Linked DNA regions of Tribolium castaneum. The protein of the gene in region 2 interacts with the protein of the main gene of each other region in a pairwise test. Links are inferred from orthologs where the notes say so. Each region holds a gene or a part of one and is shown on either strand. Other genes may lie near its edges.

Region 1 (4,475 bases), about 24 Mb from region 2:
TAAGCAAAATGGGTTTAAACACAATAGTTAAGTACCTTTCTCTTCAAATAAATACAGAAGAATAAAAATTACAAAATGACTTACATCTTACATTATTCTAAAAAGGCCACAAGAGCGTCAATTTTCATCTAGTTTCATTTATTGACAAAATTGCAACAAATCTTAGTTTCCCACATAAATATGTATGGCGAAAAAGACCAAAGTAATGTCATTCCCTACCTTCATTTGTGATTTTTTTGGCCTGTTATTCTAGCGAATTAATGCGAATTACTATGAGTAAGTGGAAAAAAATCAAAGTGACGTAATATTCGATAACTTTATTGATAATCACTTGCTCTATTTGAGCGAAATTTCAACAGAAAAGTGAGAAGTGTGCTTAAAAGCAAAAATAATATATACCTAATTATAGGTAAAATAATAATTATGTGATATGTTCGGCATTTGTACTTCAAATTTTACAAAAAAAAAACGACCCAATTCTAGAAAAACTGATCAAAATAATTCACATTATTTTCGACCTTTCGCTCAAAATTCACGTCATTTCCGACGTATCAAATAATTTCTCATCTTGTTTTAACAAGTCACCGTAAGCCCACCGAAAGGAACGACAACTATCAAGATCATTCATTGGTCTTCTGACAAAGTTTTGCATATTTAAAATAAAAATCCGGTATTTCAAACGTAATTAAATTATTTTTGGCGTTTTAATGCAGTTTTACGAAAAAAGTAAAATCATCTTACACTTGTTTAATACTTACTTGTTTAATAATAAAAATACCGTAATTTTCTACGTAATAAAGAAATTGTTCAAAGTGTTTAACGAAATCATACAAACAACGAAATCATAATAAAGAAAATGTTCGGAGTGTTTAACGAAGTCATACAAAAGTGGTCATTTCACAGTGAGTTTCTCGCTTAGATTACTAATGATTTTTGGTCCTGTTGTAACCAATTTATGAGAAATAGGTATGTTTTTAATCAAAATGCTGAAGAAAGGCAAAAATGGATATTCGATGTCCACTGATAATCCTTTTTAAACCTATTTAAGCAAAATGTTAAATTGATTGAAACTAATAAATAAAACTAGAACTAAAAATGTCCAAAGAATATATAAATTTCAGAAAATTACCGAGTTATTAAAGCAATTGTGAAAAAAAAAACAAAGAAAATCACTCAAAACAAGAACAAAAAAGCCAAAATAAAATCATTTCCGATCTTCATTTTTGTTTTTTTTTTTTGACAAAAACAAAGGCAAAAGTAATATAAAACTAAGCAAGAAAAGTGAATTTTTACCTTAGAAATGTGTTTAAGTAGGTATTAAAAAAAGCAAACACATTCTTTGCCTTTATTCGATGAGATTTCTTAAAAAAATGCTTTTCATCTATAAAACGACTTTAAGTTAGCTGAATTATTCAGAGTAATACAATTTTCATCCTTTGTTGGAAACTTCTGACCGTATTAGAAGAAAATTTTACAACAAAATATTTAAGTAATTCTCGACATATAAAAAATGTTTCGAACAGTTTGCTTTAATACTTATACACCTCTTTGTATTTTACTAACCGTATTTGCAACGTTTTAAAAACATTTCAATAATGTTTTTCCCCTAGAACAGCACATTTTTCTCAGACAAATAGTGAACCGGTTGAGTTTAAATTAATTTAAATGAAACCAAAACGATGCTATGGAGCACTGATGCTCTGGGGGACTAAATTTTTGGTAAAAACATCGAGTTATTTTGTATCTCGTTTCGCCCCTTTGTCTTATTTTTAGAATACTCACCGTATTTGTGGAACGAGACTGTCATCACCCGGTCAGTGGTGTAAAAAGCCTCTTCGACACCGTCACCGTGGTGCACGTCAATATCGATGTACAACACGCGTTGGTGGTACTTCAACAGCTCCAAAATCCCCAGAACAATATCATTTACGTAGCAAAAGCCCGAAGCTTCGGATTTTTTCGCGTGATGCAAACCCCCGCCCCAATTGATGCAAATTTCGGACGCTTGCTTGTTCAATTTAACAGCTGCCGCCACTGAGCCCCCAGCTGAGAGTTGGCAGAATTCGTACAAACCGTCAAAGACAGGACAGTCCTCCCCTACATTAAACCTCTGCATTTGTTTGTTGTACTCAGACATGTTGTCAGGTCGGATGGATCTGAGAAATCGAATGTAGTCATCCGAGTGAAACTTGGTCATTTCTTCGGCAGTGGCTTTATGGGGGCGCTGGGAAAGTCAAAACTAAATAACACCAACAATTCATGGAAATTAAATACTCACATAAATCTCCATTTTTCTGTACAGACCATAATTGAGCAGCAAATTATGGGTCATCCTTATGCGGTGGGGCTTCATGGGGTGTCCTTGCCCATAATAGTAATTCCCAATATCGCCTAACAATTCAAAATTATCAGAATTGAATCAAAATTCACGATGGACTAATAACATTCGCCATCGTAACACCGTACAAAAAAGCGTCATCATCTCATCATAAACCAAGCTAACCAATCAGCACCGAGCAAAAATACCGCGACCGTAGTCTACCGTGAATTTCCAGGCTTACGGTTTCGAAAATCGTATTTACATGATAGCACGATACGACACAAAATTAAGCAAACGCATGCATTTTGTTGGCAAATTTCAAAAACAAACGCCCCAAAATGGTGGAATAATTCATGTTTGGCTGAAATTGGTGGCTACTTACTGTCGTAATAGTAACAAACACGTTTCCGACTGTGAGGTTGTGTGGCCATCTTGTACTGTAGAAAACTAAATTGTTTTTAATTACTTTGGCTTTAATTATTACAAATCACTGTTCACTTTGTAACAATTTGTTTAAATTATTAGAATTACGGCGGTAGCACAACACGCCGCTTTGCAAATGGCACCGTTGTTCCCGCAGCAAGGACGCCAACCTAGCACCGGTGGCGATTTAGTGTAAAGTTGAATTTCCCTACTAAAAAATAAACAGGGTGATTCTTTTCGTTTTTGCATTGTAATGCCACCATTAAGGCCGTAACAAAGCTTTCTTTTTCATTGTTGGAGTTGATTCTCCTAACTTAAAAAAACTCTCCTTACGTAGCGCCATCTCTTTTCTTTAGAAGAGTCCTTAAGACCATATCCACAGCTTCCTTGATTAACGAAGGGAAAGTCCCTTGACCCTTCATTAATCAAGAAAGCTGTGATTTTCAACCGAAGGGGTCCCAAAAACGTTGAAGACGGTTTTTTACCAATGTTCGAATAATGGAAAATTAAATAATACCTGAATCGTAGAAGATAATTCACCACAACTTTGTTCCTTAGAACTGTTTTTTCTAACTACACCGCTAATAATGCCACATTAACTAATGAACAAAAATCAGCTTTTCATACAAAAATTCTCATGAAAAAGGAAGCCTCTACTGTAAAAAACTTATTTATCGAAGAAAACAACAATTATATGTTATGAAGATTGGTTAGCAGTTTTCAGTAGAGCAAGTTCTAAATTCTTCTTTACACTTAGTTAGAAATAATTAAGGGGTTGCATTCCTAAACATTTTTCCCTTTACATTCGAAACTGAGAAATTCTTATTTCTTGCCTTTAAGTTTTTCAGGTTTTACTAAGATAATTTTACCACAAAAAAACAAAAGTTGTTTGGGCTTAATCTACATTTACTTGACGATATTTTAAAGCAAATACAATGTTTAACTATTAGTTTATCACAGAAACAACGAATATATTTTCAAAACTTTTAGTGAATATATTAAAAAAACAAGACGTGATAGACAAATGTGAGATATATTTTAGTTATTACGTTATTAGTGAGTGAGAAGAAAACAAAATCAGTATAAATTATTTCTTGGTAAAAGAAAAAATTTTTTGTAAACTAGTTTAATTATCATAACTAATCATAGGACCGGTTTATAAAAACGTCATTAATTTAATCAGTTATAAAATGCGTGATTAACTGATTACGTGACCAAATTGAAGTCATTTGGTTGGTTCATTCGCGTTGTTAACTTTTAACAACGAATTCAATTTTAACAGAGCCTTTTATAAACCGGCCCATAAATTTAAAAAAATTAATAATATTTGAGAGTTTAAAGCAGCGAAACCGCTTTAAACACAAATCTAGCTTTTTAGAAAGCAAATTTTTTTAAAATAAGATGAAATGTTGCACATTACGTGGTTTTGCTTTGTGTATTTAAGAATGTTTCTTAATAAAAAAAAATGTTGTTTAAACAGACTCTCATTGTTGGGTTTTCTATAGTTTTTTTGTCAGAAACAAGCATATTAATATTGATATTTTACACGAAATAGTCAAAAAAGGTTCAAATTAGACGTAATTCTTTTCTATTACACATTTTTGTTACCGATTTACTTTCTAAAAAAAGAACAGTTATTAATAGTAGGTTGACCACAATTATGGTGCTGTATATGTGGTTGCATACCAAATTAATTTTTTTTATCAAATTCATTTTTAATTACTTAGTTATC
Region 2 (4,180 bases):
TTTGGGGTGCATTCAGGGGGCGCGTTGGGGTCGGTCCGTTCGGTCAGTTCAATGTACCTAAACCAGGCAAGTTAGGGAAAAAATAATCAGGGTCCCACCCAGCGAAGTTGGTAAAGTACCATAAAAAAAGTAATAAATCAAATTATTTTCAAGTGTAAAAGTATTAATCACCCTATATTTTATTGTATTTTTAACGTAGTTATCAATAAGTACTGATGATTTTGTTGATTTTTTTTGTTGATTCTGCTATTTTACAGTAGTTATTTTATTTGACGGAAACAATTTTTTTAATGAAATACACAAAAACTAAGAGTGCCACAGTTTCCACCACTGCAAAGGGAAATTTTCAAGTTTAAAACTGTAGTAGTTCGTTAACGCACTGCAATTAAGAACATAAAAAAGTGAAAACGTTTGTTATTTGTGTGTTATTTTGTGTTTTTCTAAAAACAAAATTTCAAATGTAGATTGAAAAAATAACTGGTGGAAAACTTTAATGAAACAATGATTGTTACACAACGTTGCGTCTATTATACCACAGACATCATCAAATGGAAAAAAATGACATTATGGAATTTAAAAAAGATAGTAGATTCAACACACGCAAAGAAGGTCGCACAATATTTTTTTTCCATTTTTTATACAAATGTATTATTTCTAGCCTGATGATGTATGTGGTATAGTGGACGAAACGTTGTGTAACAATCGTTTCATTATAAGTTCTCCATCAGTTATTTTTTCAACCAGGGATAAAGCATTCAAAGGACGTTTAACACTCCGTTTATCTGTTACCTTTTATTTTTTTATTTTATAATTAAATCGTTTAAATTTGAATTTATTTAAATTAACAAAAAACTAGGCTATGATATTGTGTACTGAAATAAGCGTAAACTATTTGTAAATTTGTGTTCGTGCATAGATTAGAGCTTCGAAAAAAATTATAGTTAATTTTCAAACGTTGACAATTATTATTGACAATTCGACTTTATTTCAGAGAAAACTTAAGTAACATTTTAATGTTTTAAAGAAAAACGGTAAAAAACATGTATTTTTCAAGACATTTCTCGAAACAGTCAAATAAATTATTCTATTACATAATCCTTTGGTTCTTCTAAAAAAAAGTTAGACTCCTCTTGCCCTTTTTCTTTGCGGTTGTAGTTCAATTTAACTATTTTACAAATTAATAATACAATTTTTTGTTTAAAGTTATATCTTCTTTGTAATTATTAAGACGCACTTAAATGATTGTGGTTTTAAAGGGAACTTAAAAAACTTTAACATGCAAAAGTAAAAAATAAAAAACTTCTTGACTGGAACTTTTCAAAAAAATGTCAAAACATCAAAGTTTTTTTCTTTCTCCTCTAATCTGACTCAACTGATTTTTTTTAATCGTATTCTTGGATTTGATATAATTATTTTGTTAAATGTGTTTTCGTCAAAAAAACAAGCACAACAATAAAAGTTTACCCTTAAAAACATTAATATTAAACGTTACTTCCAAATGCCAAAAGCCGAGTGTTTCATTAAAAAAAAGCATATTTGTATCGTAGCTTACCGATAAACATAGCCTACTGTCTGGACAATTATTTTGACATTATTTAATATAAGTTATTAATAATATGAGTGCGAAAACACAAGAGTAGCTGTCGTTATGCAACGAGCAGATGCGAGTTACTTACCTAAATACTTTAACTTTAAGCGTTTTCGTATGAGTGTTATTCAAAATTTTTTTGTTGGACTTCTTTACACTTTTTTATTTATTTTGTTCAAGCATACAGTGCGGTAAAATAACATGAAAATTTTTCAGAGACCTCAGAACAATATTTTATGATAAATGAACTCATTAATGCTGTGAGAAGATTAAAAAGTAAACACTTTTTTTTCTGCTCGAAATGTGAATTGATCGAAAAATGACCAAATTGTTTGTGCGTTAGATATTATACAGCGTCCAGTTTCGTTAAAGCTCGAGTTTCAAAATTAAAACTTCACGCTGTGAAATTATATACACGTATAATGTAAAATGAATATTACCAACTCGCTGGAAAAGCCTGTAAAAAATATAATAAAACATCGTACTTTTCCCTCAACTCCTCTGGGTCCCCCTTATCGGGAAACTGCGACGAAATCGCTTGGAATATAATAAAAGCTGGAAAATCGAGCCCCTTTTTCTTTTCCTCTTCTTTGGTCTTTTCCTTGTCCTTGTCTTTTTTCTCCCCTTTGTCGCTGTCCTGGTATTGCATCAACGCGTGCACCAGCTCCACAAAAAGCTCATCATCGATAAATCCCGACTCCCGGTCCCCGTGCACTTTCCCATCGTAATTTTTGATAAGTTCTTCGATAAACGTCCCGTCCTGGTCCAGTAAATCATCGCCCATGTATGGAATGTTATGCAGGACAGTTTCGTCCTCCACCATGAAGTTCTGCTGGATGGGGGCCCACGTGTACATGGTCGGGATGGGAGTCACCGCGTTGATAATCCGAATGGGGGTGACCTGTATATCGCCTGAAACTAACATAGCATCTTGGAGACAACAACTGGGATCAAACAACCTTCATTCCCGATAACTTCCGCCTTTTTCATGCAAGTCACATGCGAGGGGATCTCGGGCAGGGGCACCCAGAAGGCTTTGCTCTCAGTCCAGCGCTTCTGCTCGGCGATCAGGTTTTCGGTCATTTTGATCCGGTTCTGGTTCCATGCTAGTTTCACGTCGTCCGCTCTTTTGAACCTCTTTTGTTGTCTCAAACGGATGTATTCTTGCTTCACGTGACGCTTCCATTCGTTACTCACTTTCACTTTCGACATTTTCACGCCAATTAAGAAAGAAAACAATGAATGCGAACTGAGGGAAGGGTCAATTCATTTTGGAACGGAAGGAGTTCTATAAACACAGAAAAAACCAAAAATATAACCTCTAAGCACAGGCACCATCGACTGGCGCGTGCGCCGATGCTCTGCCGATAATCTAACCCTGCGAACGCCGTGCCCCAGGTCCCAACCCCCGGCCCCCCAGGGATGTGCCCAATCCACAGGATGTCATAATTTTAGGTAATAGGTGATAGTGAAGTCAAATAAGATAAAAATGATAGGTTTATTGTGTTTTAATTGTAATAATTTACACTACTCAACAATCGCCAAGGATCACCTGATTTTTCAATTTTCAAAAATTCTCAATTTTTGGACTTTGTGATGGTTTAAGAATACCTTAATTTGAATTTGCTTTGCCATTTATGAGTAAAATCATGAAATATTCGTACAGTGTGATGCTGGAGAAAAAGTTATAGTATCTAATTAATTACTATTATGTGAGCTACACAACAAATAAATGTTTTTTCGGTTATTAACAATTTTCTTAAAGTATTATATTGTCTGGAAAGAACATCATTTAAACACCGTATCCTTTAGAATGCCATTAGAATCTCCAGATACTATTTTTGTTGGTTTTGAAATCATTTTCAATATTTTAATTAAAAGGAATTGAAGAGAAATGATAAAAAAATCACCTACATTTGAAAAAAAATAAAATAAAGGGTACCGACTGTATATTAAAAAGCACTTTCATAAGTTTTGAGGCACGAATAAATAACGACTGCCTCAAGGTCTTATGACAGCAGTTTTTTAAAGCTATTTTTTGTAATTTATGGCTTTCAAATTTTGGTATATATTTGGGGACTTTTGTGATGATTTTTTGTGGATTTTTATGTCGTCCTCTTATTTAATTGATGTTTCAATAACTTTCCATTTTTCAGAAACCATCGCAGGAAGCTAGCCTGGAGACATGGAAGGTAACCGAAAAATCAAACGTGTTTTACAGTTATAATCGAATTTTAAATTTTCAGATCAGTTAAAAATTGAATTGGCGATTTTAATCGCCGTTTTAATCCTGGCCAGGATTTTGTACCTAGTCCACAAGATAACGACTGGTTTTAGTCGCGAAGCGTCCAGTAAAAGAGTAACCCCCTGCAGGACAGTCATCTGCATTGGTTCAGGGGGGCACACCACTGAAATGCTAACCCTTATGGCAAGCCTAGACTTTGCAAAATATTCGCCCAGATATTACATCATGGCAAAAACCGACACAACCAGTTACGCCAAAGTGAGAAAATTCGAAGAGACAAAAAATCACAGCAATTATGAAATTATCGAAATCCCCCGCAGTCGAGTTGTGGGCCAGTCCTACATCAC
Region 3 (2,789 bases), on a different chromosome or scaffold from region 2:
GAGGCAGCCCCAGCCGGTGAGGCACACTCAAGTAATTTAATTTAATAACTTTTTGTTTCTTTATTTTAATTATAATATTTAGGTGCGCCAGCACGTTCCAACACCGCCGCCCCCGCCCCCAGTGCGTCAGCCCACCCGCGGGCACCACCCCGCCCGCCAACCCTCGCAATACCTCGACGAAGACGGCGTCCGTCAAAGAACCCGTAAACCCCCAGTACAAATTTTGCGCAAATACCGAACTGATAATCCCGATGGTAGCATAACCTGGGGCTACGAGAATGAAGATGGTACGTTTAAGGAAGAAACGTTGGGGATTGATTGTGTAACACGGGGGAAGTACGGTTACGTCGACCCTGATGGTGTCCGCAGGGAATACACGTACGAAACGGGGAACAAATGCGATGAACCGGAAGAAGACGAAGATTTACCGCCCGAAAGACAACAAATTCAGACACAGCCCAGGAAGCCCCAATTCAGGCCTGGACCTTAGGTTTAGTGTTAAATTAAATGCCATTATTTGTTAAAAATAATAAATTAGGAATTATATATAACTGGTTGCCTGACCATGTTTGGTTACTACGGGTTACCACTATCAACAACACAAAAGGAAAAATAAAAATGCCAAATAAAGTTTTATGAGTTTTATTTATAAAAATTAACTACACTAGTAGGGCCTTTGCCGATGGTTATTGTAGTTCTGAGCATAACCCTTGCGGCCCCCTGTGTTCCAGGAATCGGCCGGCGTGATGGCAATATCCATAAAATCCCCAATTGCAAATCTAGCTTGACTTAGCGTTTTCAAGTCATCAGGTCCCTTAATCCCTGTAGTTGTGCTCCCTATTTCCCTCATTCGATAAATCGGGACTCTCATATCGGGAAAAACGAGCGAAAAACTAAACTTTGTCCCTTTTCTCCGTGCCTCTGGATTCACTTCTTTGACAAGTTGGGTTAACTCATGTAAAGTTGCGTCTTTCCATGTGTAGATTTGGAGCTCGTTCTGGGGCGTATTACCTTTATTATAGTCGGTGGGTTTGTGGTGGTAACCGTTCGACGAGACAAAAACGCGTAAAAGAAACGGACAGACCTGGAAACTTAGTTGGGAAAAAAAGTCAAGTTGGGGGTGTTGTACCTTTTGGCGATCCACTGCATCGTCTTTCTTTTCCTCGATTACGACATCCACGGATGCCATAGTATGGTTTTTGATTAATAAATAAACAGTTTTTGTCACTTGTAAAAAATAAGGTTAACACTTGTTTACAGTTGACAGAGGGCGCTTGAACCCACGCCCTACTCCCATTATTGCGTTTCTTTTTCTAGCACATTGTATCGTCCAACCACCCATCTTTGTCTCGCGTCTGGTGATAGGTCGAGAGAATCGGATGACTTTATTGACGTTCACATAACCTATTCAAAAGTTATGTCAGGACAGAGATTCCGGTAGTACCAGGTGAGTCATTTTTGCCCTTTATACAATTATTTTCGCGTAATTACAATTATGATCAGTTGTTGTTTTGATGAACTGTAATTTCAAAACGCATTGTAAGCATATTTTTGAATTAGCATACCTATCTACAAGTCCAACGTTTGAAAACAATAAAAAAGATAAAACTCATCATTCGCACTTTGATTGTTATTTCATTCAGTTCACTAGTGTTCCAGTTCCAAAAAAAAAATGGCCCAAACGGACCCTAATGTAATCGTAGGCCCAGAAGTTGAGCGCTTCATTGAAGGTTCCTTAGGTGAATTATTGCTACTTTTACTGAAAACACACTGTGATAATGTCTTACAAGTAAGTAAGTAATTATTTTTACCACCCTTGTGGCAAAAAAACGTATAGGTTGATGCCGCAACTGACGAAGAATTGCCAGCTAATTTATTACTAAGTCGTTCGATTCAACTCGCAAAATGGTTACGCAGTATTGGGGTTAAAGAAGGAGATTCGATTTCGGTAAATAGCGAAAATCGGTTAGAATTCGCCGTTGTGACAGTGGCCACGTTTTTCGTTGGCGCTGTTTTTGCCCCTTTAAACCCTGAATATACTCCAGGTGAATGCTCTTGAACTTTGGTAATAAAATAATTGATAAGTTTATCGCTTTCAGGCGAATTAAACCACGTTCTCCAACTTTCAAAACCCAAAGTCATTTTTTGTTCGCCTCAAACGATTCAAACTATGACTAAAGTTTTCGCCGATCATCCAAATCTCACACATTTGGTGCTTTTTGGGGCGCAGAAACGTAACGAGAGTTACGTTATAATGCATGAGGATATTATCAGAGGTAATTTTGAGGCACAAGCCGAAGGCGAGTGTCGTAACATATATAGTAAAAATGCATTGATATTTAGGCGCCACCGGTGACAACATTGACGAAAGTTTTGAAGCCACACCAGTGGACCCCAAAGACGCCATTGCCACGATTTTAATGTCGTCAGGGACCACTGGTTTGCCAAAGGGTGTGATGTGCACCCATGAAAGCATGACCACCTATGTTGACATAATGAGGTGATTTTTTAGTCATTTTTTCAATTGTTATATTGGACTGTCATTAGGGTTACCATGGCACAAATAATCGAAAATGACGATCCCAGCGACGCCATGATGGGTCTCGCCCCATTTTTCCACTCAATGGGTTTCATGTTAATGTTTTTGAATTTGTTACGCGGCAAAAAAATGGTTGTTTTGAGTCGTTTCAAAACCAAAATTTTCCTAGACGCTATCATAAAGTACAAAATTTCGCGACTTGTTGTACCACCACCTGTCATGTTGGTGCTCCTGAAACACCCACTTACTA

Evidence for each region.
Region 1: the proteins of E(z) (region 2) and HDAC1 interact in binary tests that used the Drosophila melanogaster proteins (3 or more experiments, as listed by UniProt). The link is inferred for Tribolium castaneum from reciprocal best matches to the Drosophila melanogaster genes E(z) and HDAC1.
Region 3: the proteins of E(z) (region 2) and Bin1 interact in binary tests that used the Drosophila melanogaster proteins (3 or more experiments, as listed by UniProt). The link is inferred for Tribolium castaneum from reciprocal best matches to the Drosophila melanogaster genes E(z) and Bin1.

The regions. Positions count from the first base shown.
Region 1 is NC_087394.1:10,697,910-10,702,384, reverse strand, and holds the start of HDAC1 (histone deacetylase HDAC1), read right to left. Parts: upstream 2,935-4,475; 5' UTR 2,752-2,934; coding exon 2,703-2,751; intron 2,392-2,702; coding exon 2,279-2,391; intron 2,225-2,278; coding exon 1,783-2,224; intron 1-1,782. UniProt on the Drosophila melanogaster protein: Catalyzes the deacetylation of lysine residues on the N-terminal part of the core histones (H2A, H2B, H3 and H4).
Region 2 is NC_087394.1:34,717,651-34,721,830, reverse strand, and holds the start of E(z) (histone-lysine N-methyltransferase E(z)), read right to left. Parts: upstream 2,801-4,180; coding exon 2,548-2,800; intron 2,501-2,547; coding exon 2,074-2,500; intron 58-2,073; coding exon 1-57. Other genes in the region: UDP-N-acetylglucosamine transferase subunit ALG14 homolog, read left to right, coding at 3,774-3,780, 3,835-4,180. UniProt on the Drosophila melanogaster protein: Polycomb group (PcG) protein. Catalytic subunit of the Esc/E(z) complex, which methylates 'Lys-9' and 'Lys-27' of histone H3, leading to transcriptional repression of the affected target gene.
Region 3 is NC_087397.1:433,666-436,454, reverse strand, and holds Bin1 (histone deacetylase complex subunit SAP18), read right to left. Parts: upstream 1,270-2,789; 5' UTR 1,190-1,269; coding exon 1,130-1,189; intron 1,085-1,129; coding exon 665-1,084; 3' UTR 627-664; downstream 1-626. Other genes in the region: uncharacterized protein LOC662631, read left to right, coding at 1-31, 83-490; uncharacterized protein LOC662698, read left to right, coding at 1,673-1,789, 1,838-2,045, 2,100-2,276, 2,344-2,500, 2,548-2,789. UniProt on the Drosophila melanogaster protein: Involved in the tethering of the SIN3 complex to core histone proteins. Interacts with bicoid (bcd) to repress transcription of bicoid target genes in the anterior tip of the embryo; a process known as retraction.